Drosophila melanogaster: one gene and its partner. Changing the gene in region 2 together with the main gene of any one other region gives a genetic interaction. Each region holds a gene or a part of one and is shown on either strand. Other genes may lie near its edges.

What was found.
Region 1: of ss (region 2) and BEAF-32, changing one suppresses a phenotype caused by changing the other (phenotypic suppression), as found in Drosophila melanogaster (one study listed by BioGRID).

The regions. Positions count from the first base shown.
Region 1 is NT_033778.4:14,768,676-14,773,404, forward strand, and holds BEAF-32 (boundary element-associated factor of 32kD), read left to right. Parts: upstream 1-1,793; 5' UTR 1,794-1,910; coding exon 1,911-2,154; exon of another isoform or gene 2,155-2,726; coding exon of another isoform or gene 2,727-2,967; intron 2,968-3,124; coding exon 3,125-3,732; 3' UTR 3,733-3,955; downstream 3,956-4,729.
Region 2 is NT_033777.3:16,400,463-16,405,527, forward strand, and holds the start of ss (spineless), read right to left. Parts: upstream 3,229-5,065; 5' UTR 2,956-3,228; exon of another isoform or gene 2,934-2,955; intron 1,883-2,933; 5' UTR 1,434-1,882; coding exon 1,378-1,433; intron 1-1,377.

The DNA of each region.
Region 1 (4,729 bases), on a different chromosome or scaffold from region 2:
TTTTTTGAACTACCATTTGCTGCGAGCACTACTTTTTTATTAACATAAAATTTGCACCAACGAATCAATCGCGCTCGCTCTCGCACTCTCCGTCACTCTATCTCCCTCTCGCACGCGCTCTCCGCAGCTTGCGCAGAAAGTTTTTTGGGCGATTTCTCCATGTGTGTATATGCTGCTCTGCTTGCTGTTGCTGCCTTTACATATTTCATATTTACATACGCCTATACATACTGCAGCACAGCTATAATTTTTCACCGATTTTCCCAACCGATATGTTTAATTGCCAACCGCAGCGGATTTCCAACTATATTTTCTTCTTATTGTTTTCGCTTTTCACTGGGCTTACGTATGTATGCATGTGCGTGAATTGGAGTACTTCTTTTTAGTAACAGTAAAAATGAGAGGGCGAGAAAGAGAGAGCACTGGATGAGCTCGTTTTTCATTATTTCGCATTTAAAATGTGTAACTCTGTCTTTTAATTCATTTATTTAACAACGCGCACACATACACAAAAACACACACACACACAAAGCAGGAGCAGACGCAACAAAATGTAGCATTTTTCTTTGTATTAATTTTGCACTGTTTTAAATGACATTTACTTTTGCTGCTTGTTCGCAAATTTTTTTGCGTATATTTGTGCTTTTTCCGATTGGGCGTTTTTTTACAATTAAGCAGATATATTCACAACAATTGACATTTCCAAAAACAAACGACGGCGACGGCGAAAAAATTAAGAGACAGTGTGACCGTGGAGCAATCCGATAAATATACTCTCTGTGCCAACTCTAAAACTCCACATAAAATACCAACGTATATAAATGCATATAACGAAAATATTAGCTTTTTGAATTTGCAACTCTGGGGTTTTAATTTATGGCGGATTTCTTGAAAACGGTAATATTGACAAAACTTTAAATGTTCGTATTGTTTTCTTTATTCAAAATTTTAATTTTTCAAATTTTTTTGTGTATCGACATTGTGGATCATTAATAGTTTTAAATTAACAGGAATTCTAGGAAAACCTACAATTTGGTAAGCTAGAGCTAAGAATCGATTCTTTTATTCATATTGGTTGGGCAACATCTTTCGGTGCAGCTAATCCACATGCAGGCATCTGTATTGCCTGGTAGCCTTGAATTTCTTTGATAATCTTATCCTCCTGGCTGTCCAAGGCGACAAAGACCAAGAAGAAATCGTAGTGCGTTTCGATGTCCCGCGCACTAACCACGACGCACCAATCCATCAGGGCCTCGGTTATCTTATCTGTAGCCTTGTCCGCACTGGAAACGTCCGGATTCCAGTGGGAATCCTCTTCATCCTCTGATGTTGGATATATGACATAGGTTCTGTAGCACTTGTGCCGCTCCATGTGTGAAGTGCATCCATGTTATTTGACCAAGCTCGATTCTGGAGAAGACATTCCAGACTTTGCCGCGACTGCGCTTCTTGTTGAATTGCCGGACTCCGGCGTTCAATTGGGCCTTGATATTGTCCTGGCTGTAGGAAAGCCATCGAAACTTTACCCATTTAAATAAAAAGATTCTACTGATTCAATATACAATAGTCAACTCAATTGAGTTTATCGATAGACTGTTTACTATGGGTAATCGGAATCGCTAGTCATATGAGAATTTTAGGTTTTAAACTAAAAGAAAATATTCAAAAAACATAAGAAACAAATAAAATTCAAAAAAAATTAAACTTACAATCAAGTTCTTTTTAAGAAAATCAGTGGCTGTTTACACCACCTTACACTTTTCGCACCGTGCTAGCGCTTGTTTACCAACACAGTTTTGTGCGTGACTGAATTTTCGTGAGTTTGTATTTGTGTACATTTTGTAATTTGGGTTTGTTTTCTTCTTGGCAAACCGAATTACCACCGCAAATCGAACAACCGATACACCACGATGCATGTTGAAAAGAAATCAGAGCTTCGTAGCCTACTAAAATCCGGGGACAAGCGTTGCAAACTCGTTGAGCCCAGGAACACCAAAAGCTGCGTCTGGAGGTTTTTCAATCTCGTCCAGTGCGACGACCACATAGAGCCGTACGCCTGCTGCAAAACCTGTGGCGATCTGTTATCCTACAGCGGCAAAACTGGAACCGGATCCCTGCTACGGCACCGATGTCTCCACTCCAGCAGCAGTAACGGTAAGTTCGGGATCCGAAATCTCACGCACGCCCTTCACAATCGAAATCCACTGCCACGCGTGCTCCGTGCCGTAGAAACCGAGCACGGATCAGTGCCCGATGCCATCGCGATAAATCCACGGGTCATCGGTACAGGCTCCTCCACTTTGGCGCGGAAAAAGTAGAAACTCTAGTTATAGCAAGGCAGTAAATCGTCTTGAAAAAAAAAACTATAGATAAAAATAGTGCAGGATAGGTACAGAATTTTCCCCAACCAGTGGTTGTGCTTGTAAATAGTTTATAAACCTATTGTATATTATCTAAAATGCTATTAAAAAATCAGCTAAAAAATATTGTTATGTTAAAAGTATTTTTATGATTTTGCGCTGTTGTAAAGTATGTAAACATTCTCTTATTTTCGTTTTTCACCTCTGTTTGCCGTTGCCTTTGTTTCCACTCTTATGTTCATGCGTTTTACAACACTGCAACGGCACTTGACAACACTGACTACAGCAACGCCAATATCGCAATAAATAAATTTGTGGAGAAAAATCACTTTTGACGTACTAATTACCTAGAGAAAAGTATTAAAAATGCCCAAGGGTCGTGTTAGCAATGTGTGGCAGCACTACGATATTAACGAGGAGTGCGAAAACTTTGCGATATGCCGTTATTGCGGCAACAATATATCGCGTGGTGGCATGGCCAGCAATTTGAAGGGCAACAATACGACCAATTTGTGGACGCATCTGCGGCACAAGCACAGGGACGAGGTGCTGGTCAGTCCGGTGCAGCAACGTCCCCAGGCCCGGATGATCCCAATCATCAAGAAAGGTAATTCCAGCGAAGTTCGTATGGCGGGCTATCGACCCTTGGGTCGGCGGGAAACTATCGCCGGCGCCCATCTCTGGGTTATGATATTTTTGTTATTATCCGGTAGCTGTACCAATATGTATCGTATTAACCATCGCTTCCATCCTTTGCATTGCAGACAAAACCGTGCGGATTACCAAGGCCAAGACGCTGAGGGAGCCGCTGCGTGTGGCCAAGCCGAAGATCGAGTCGAACGTCGCCAATTATCTGGGCGAGGCGGGCGCCCTGCCGCAAAAGTGGGAGGAGTACGAGCAGAACGATGAGATTAGCGAGGACATTAAGGACATCATATACAGCGAGGATCCACTGTGCTATAGTCCTATACACGTGATGGATGATGAGGGCCTGGATCAGCCTGAGAAGCAAGTGACCGTGCTAACCCATTCGACTTCACCAGCCGGTGGAAGTAGCAGGCCCATCGGTGTTGGTTCGGGCGTACAGGCTACTGTGGTGGCCTCCACGTCCTCCAGCAGCAGCTCGGCCAAGCAGCTGAAGAACAACCTGGAGACGTCCATCGAACGGCTGACCGCTGTCAGCGAACAGCTCAGCTACATCATACAACAGAATCACGAGGAGCTCACCAAGGACGACGACTACTATTTTGCACTTAGCTTGGTGCCCGCAATGCGCCACCTTTCGCTCAGTCGGAAGATGTACGTGCGGTCCAAGATCCAGGATATACTGTTCAAGGAAAGTGAGGACTCAACGCTTGCCAAGGATGAGTAGGCGGTCCATTATATACATTTACCCAGAGGAATAATAAAACGAGGAACGAAGGAAACCATATGGTAAATGGGCAAATCAGCGTGTCGTAATCTAGGTTAATAATTATACATATGTTATGTATTCATTTAAATTATGCTCTTTTATCGATTGAAAATACTTACTTTGATTGTATATTTCCCAATTATATTTTACTTAAAACTCAAATAAAGCACTACAATAAATTAAGGAAAAGGCGATTTCATGGTGTATTACGTTTATTTTAAATAAATTTTATTTAAATAACTTGTTAAGATTTACAAAACAGAGAGCGTTGCTAGATTGTTATTATAAATTATTGTATTGTAATTTACAAATCGATTTTGCGGCTAAGTTCTGCTGTTTATGCGTTTCTTATAGAGATATGCTTGTATTGGCCGCTCCCCAATTGCGTAGCCAGCCATTTCGTTTTTCTCTTCAATATTTTGTAGATCTAGGAGTGCAAGCGTACATTATCATACAATACGAATACAAATTACAGTAAAACTCCTACAAATCGAGCAATAAACAATAAACTTAAGCCTATATATATATATATATAGTATGCTAGGCTTAGATTCTAGTCAACAAATCGGTAGTTTATCAAACACTGACTTGAATAGCGAAATGTATGTATGTCTAATTTGATGATTTGGTTGTTGATATAGGTAAGTGGTTCGCTCAAAATGAATTTTGAATTGTGGATATGATGGGCATTATACAAATATGTTCGCTTAGGGTGGATATTAGGACTAAGTGCACGATATGTTTGCCAAAAGTTTGGTATAAATTTGTTGTAATATTACGCGTAGATATGCTGCAAATCTGGCTTTTTGTATATCTATGTAGGTATATAACATTTTGATTTCGGTTCTCTCGACTGGCAGAGTGTATTTCCAAGACTTTCCTTTCATTATTTATTTATTTATTTTTTCGATATTAATCCAAGAAAGTATCGTATACAAGCATTTAGTTAATTATG
Region 2 (5,065 bases):
TTTTCTTCAGCCAACTGCAGTAAAGCGTAATTGTTTTTTTTTTTTGTCGTTTTTTGTTCTTTATCAGACTAGCAAGAACAGCGAATTACGCGACTGCCTGTCGATGGTGAAACGTATTAAGTTGAAGTTTTACGGCGTAGTCGGGAACTTTAATAAAAACGAAATTCAAGGAGAAGGGGAATTAAATTGCACACAAGGAACTTACTCTGAAGTGCACAACGCCTTGTACAAACAAATGTTTCAGTTTAAGTTGGTAAAGTTTTAATAGAAATAATATCATAATAACATATAAAGTTATTATTATCTATAAGGTCTATATCGAAATCTTTTAAAACATCTAATGTAAAATTTTAATACTAAAGCTAAGCGGTTAATAGTAAATATTCCCCGTAGAGTATCTTTGAAATGGAGCTATACTGTTAATAACTGGTTTACTAATCCGACTACAACTAAGTAGACGAACATTACACGCCATATTAGATGAGTTGGATAACCAATCTATCAACTGCGTGCTTATCCTAAATAGATCCTGGTTCTTCGCTTTTCCGAAGATAATCTACGCAGACCTGAGCTGCCCCGTTCTGCACCCTTTCAAGACTGAGGCGCTGAAGCTGATCAGTGGCTCTTGATTATGGGGGTCGCAACATTAGCGATCGGTGGTCTGCACTTGGCGAGGGGGCGTGGCCGGGCTGCAGTTGCCGCTCCTCGCCTTCTGCATATTTAGCAGTGCTGCTCATGATAATGCGTGAGTTCTCATATATTTATATTGAAAACATTATGCTTTGTGCGGTTGCAGCAGCTAAGTACACAAAATTATCAGAAATTATGTGCACCTTGGGACAGGCAGATTCCGATCTCCCCCAGCGAACAGCCGGAGGGGCCGCCGTCATCGTCATCATCATCAGCATGACCGTTCATCATCATCTCCATCAACTGTTTGGCTACTGTAATTTCACGGTAACCTGCCCCGACATGCATAATGCAAATCAATTTGAGGCTATCGGGCGGCAAAGGGGGAATTCACCGCCCTTCATTTCATCCGAGGGCCAAGTCAAAAGTCAATGGCGATGGCAATTTGTCAACAAAGTGGCCACCGGATCATTAATAATCGAATCTGGGGTATTCAAGACCAGTAGCTACGGAGATTGATGGATCGTCAGCGGGTGGCGCCACAAGGTGGCAAGCTGGTAAGTGGTAAGTGCAGCCAATCGCATTGATTGAAATCTTTCAGTAATAACAGAGCACCCAAGAACCCGCTCCACAAACATTCCGCCTCCCGCTGTGCATTTATATCTGAATCTGTATCCGTATCCGTATCTGTATCTTGGGATTCGGATCGGTATTGGTTTGTGGGATTGGACTGGGGCTTGGACTCACCTCTTGCCGTTGCGTCGCCTTCGCTTGGTGGCGTAGACGGTGCCCAGCTGGCTCATTGCTAGGGCGGAGTTCGTTATGGTCGCCGTCGTGAATGATTTTAACTCTTATTATTTTTCGTATCAATATTTCGTTGTTGTCTTCTGCTGCCTTCTGCTCGTCTGTCGTACAGGTTGTTTCCTCGTCGTGGCTTTCTTATTTCGCTTTTTTTCCTTTTGTAATTGGTTTTTATTTATTGATTTGGCTTGCTCTGGGTACACACTCTCACACACACGGACTCGCACACAGACACAGCCAGGAGCTGAGTGCGATCAGATCCGCTGAGATCCTGCTGCGGTTTTCGGTTTCGGAGTTGTAGCCACGCGTAAATTTCGTTTTTTTCTTCTTTGTATTTATTTTTAATTATCATCACGCTTACATTTTGTTTGCTTTTTCATTTCTCGCGCTCCTTTTGTTTTTGTTTTTTATTTTTTTGTGTATATTGCACTGTAGTTTCAGTTGGTTAGAGCTAAATGAGGGATTTAATGCGAAACTGTGATTCAGCAATTGAGAAAGGCTGGGAATTTTGATTTTTTTTTTCATTCGATTGTGGGTTGTATGATTTTCTAAGGCGATAACTTCGGTTCAACCTAATAGATTTTTTAAGTAATTAGTCCCGACGGAGAATGATTTCAGTTTATCTAAAATAAATCCAATTAGTTTAAGTTGGCAATGTCATGGAGCCGTTGTCTAATACGATTTGATTTTGCCTTGCATTGTAGAATAGTATAATATGATATTAAGGCTTTACTTTATTTTGAAAATTATATTTTGGTAAATTTTGAAAATATATTATTCATAAAAAGAATATATTTAAATTTGTTTCAATTTTTTCTCACAAAGGACTAAAAAAGTATAACAGATTATGTTAGCAAGTTATTAAACATCAGAGTCAACCAATAGTGTTGATTAATTTGAATGGCACATTCTAGTCAGAAAACTGTAAAAATCCCTCAATCCTTTTTCAATTGCTTTCAAAAACGAGTTGTTGTTTGTGTTGTTTTGTTTTGATTCGAGTGGCTGCGATTTGCAGGTTATTGTTTTGGTTCTTTCGTGGCAACACTTTTGCTTTTTCACTTGCACTTTTGCCGTTTGTGTTGGTAGTGTTGTTGCTCGTGGGCTCTGGTTTATCAATGGGCGATGTTTGCGATGACGACGCATGCAACAGAGGAAATCAAAATCGGCACGGAACCAAAAGCGCTAACGCAAGAACGGCACGCAAATCATTTTCATTTTGCGGCACGATCGACGTCGACGTAGGCAGATCCGCCGGCAGAGCAACCAGAGGCGAGTTGTCAAAGTGACATTTTTCAGGCACGCACACACACACGCGCGCGTGGGTGTGTTGGAATAGTAAAATAGATAGAAGTGAATGACCGCCGGCGGTCTGCAATTCGCACACGTGACTCCTCGAAGCCTTTACAGAACCTCCAGTTACAGGGTATCGCGTGCTGCGTTTCGCTTTTGTTTCTGTTTTCGCCTCTATTGTTGTTGTATTGCCTTATTCGGGGGACACTCACGCACACACAAACACGCACGCACCTTTTAGCGGGATTCTGGCGACGGCGAAACAACCGTTAGGAGGGAGCAGCGACTGCAACTGCACGCGAGCGCCAGAAGCGAGTGAATGAATGAACAACAGTGCCAAAAAAACGGACAAACGGGCATTTGAAACGAGGCACAAAGGCGATGGAGCGCGCTCTCTCACTCGCACTCGGCGCGGTGCTCTAAGTCGCTATCTCTCACTCGCACTCTTTCAAACGTGACTCTGCTGCGCTGCGGCCACGTAAACGCTTTGAGATTCCAACAAGAACTGAGCGGCGCCACGAAACGAATGGAAAAACCAGTCCTGGCGGAACACACTGGCCATGGAACACGCGGGCGGCGTGTTTGGGGCCACTTCCAGTCGTCCTGGCAACGAGCGATCGCCAAGCGACGCGGTCGCGTGGGAGTGAGACAGAGCGAACGATGTTCCACTACCAACCGTTCCAGCGTCGCCATACGTGCGACTGGAAGGGAGCGACCAACCAAGTCGGTCTTGGAAGTGCTGCAGCTATCTCGTTCGCACCCTGTAGTTTCGTTATAGGGGGCGTGTTCGCACACACATACTACACTGACAGCCTAGTAGCGCCGACTCTTTCCAGCGCACTACCAACTGGAAATAGAAATTCGGGGCACATCGCTCATCTCTTAATTAATTAGGCGGTAATTAAGAGCTATCAGTGTTATCGCTCAATGGCATCTATCCGCCATACTCTTCTCCTATTTCAAACTTATCTGAGCCGGATTTTACCTCGTTTTGCCACTGAAATGCAAATTTTATTTGGTGTGACCAAAACCATTAAGGCCATAAACATGAGCACTCACTTCGCGCTTATCGCGAATGATTTATTCACATGTGCCACCTGACAACCGCAAAAGAACAAGGAGAACGAAATGCACACCGCTGCCCTGCACAAAACCAGAAATCATATTCCTACACCTAGACGGGCAAAATGTCCGTGCCCAAGAACCCGATTGGACAGTGTACGAGGCCCCTTTATCCCATGGCCCATATGCTGCGTCCGTCTTTGACCGCATGTCACAGATGGCGATGGAGATGCACTCGTCAAAGGTACAGTTGGCACTCATAAAGAAGTTTTTAATAAGTAATTGTAATTAACTTTAATAACAATCTATACAAGCTATTCATTTTGTAATTAATATGATTACTGTGATTTACCAAATAATTTTATGTTTATTTTTAAAAGTTGGCGAAATGTTACGTTATGAACTTTTTCCTTTGAAAACGTGTTGCATACTTGGTGGCGCTGGAAAGCCACAATATTCGAGCCCTTTCAATCATGCAGCCCATTGTAGTTCATTTGTGTGGTTTCCTAATTTGATTACTTACGTCCACTCTAATAAAACATTATTATTGTTATCGAATGACCACTGTAGAATGCCTTCAATTTCGAAAAAGCATTTTTCTTTTATTGTGACGTCAGCCATGTACGAAATTGTTGGCACTGTATTTGTATTGCGTGCAACTATTCAATGCCAAGTCAGAAGGCTGAAGAAAACAATATTTCCTCAGCTAGAATCTCCAGCAGTCTGGTGTCTCACTCAAATCTCGCTGCGTAAACTAAGGACAACAGCAGCTCCGAAGACAGCAGGATCAGAAGAATCGGGAGAATCAGAAGAGGATCCACTCCGAAGAATGAGCAAAACAGAAGGCAGCGCATGTCAATCGGTGGCACTAATAAGTGAGCTGAGTCGAGTGGAGTGGAGTGAAGTGTAGCAAAGTGGAAGGGCTTGCAACCAGTTTTGGTGCGTTGCAACTTTTTCCAGCTTGCAGCTTATCAATTTACGCTTCCACTTCGTAAGAGAAGTGCACAGTGCAGGTGCTTATTCCACCTCCCTCTAAATATTCTTATTTTGCACTGCCTTTCCTCTTCTTGCATTATCGCTTTAAAGTACAGTCATCAATTGATCTTTAAAATTGAGGGCCAATATTATGACCTTACACCTAATACTGTAAAAAATAGCAAAATATATATAAGAACTGAATGGATTTTTTAAATGTGCTTAATAATTATTTTCTCATTATTAACTAAAAAAATACATACAAAATATACACAATCCCACTGTATATGATAAATATTTATTCTGG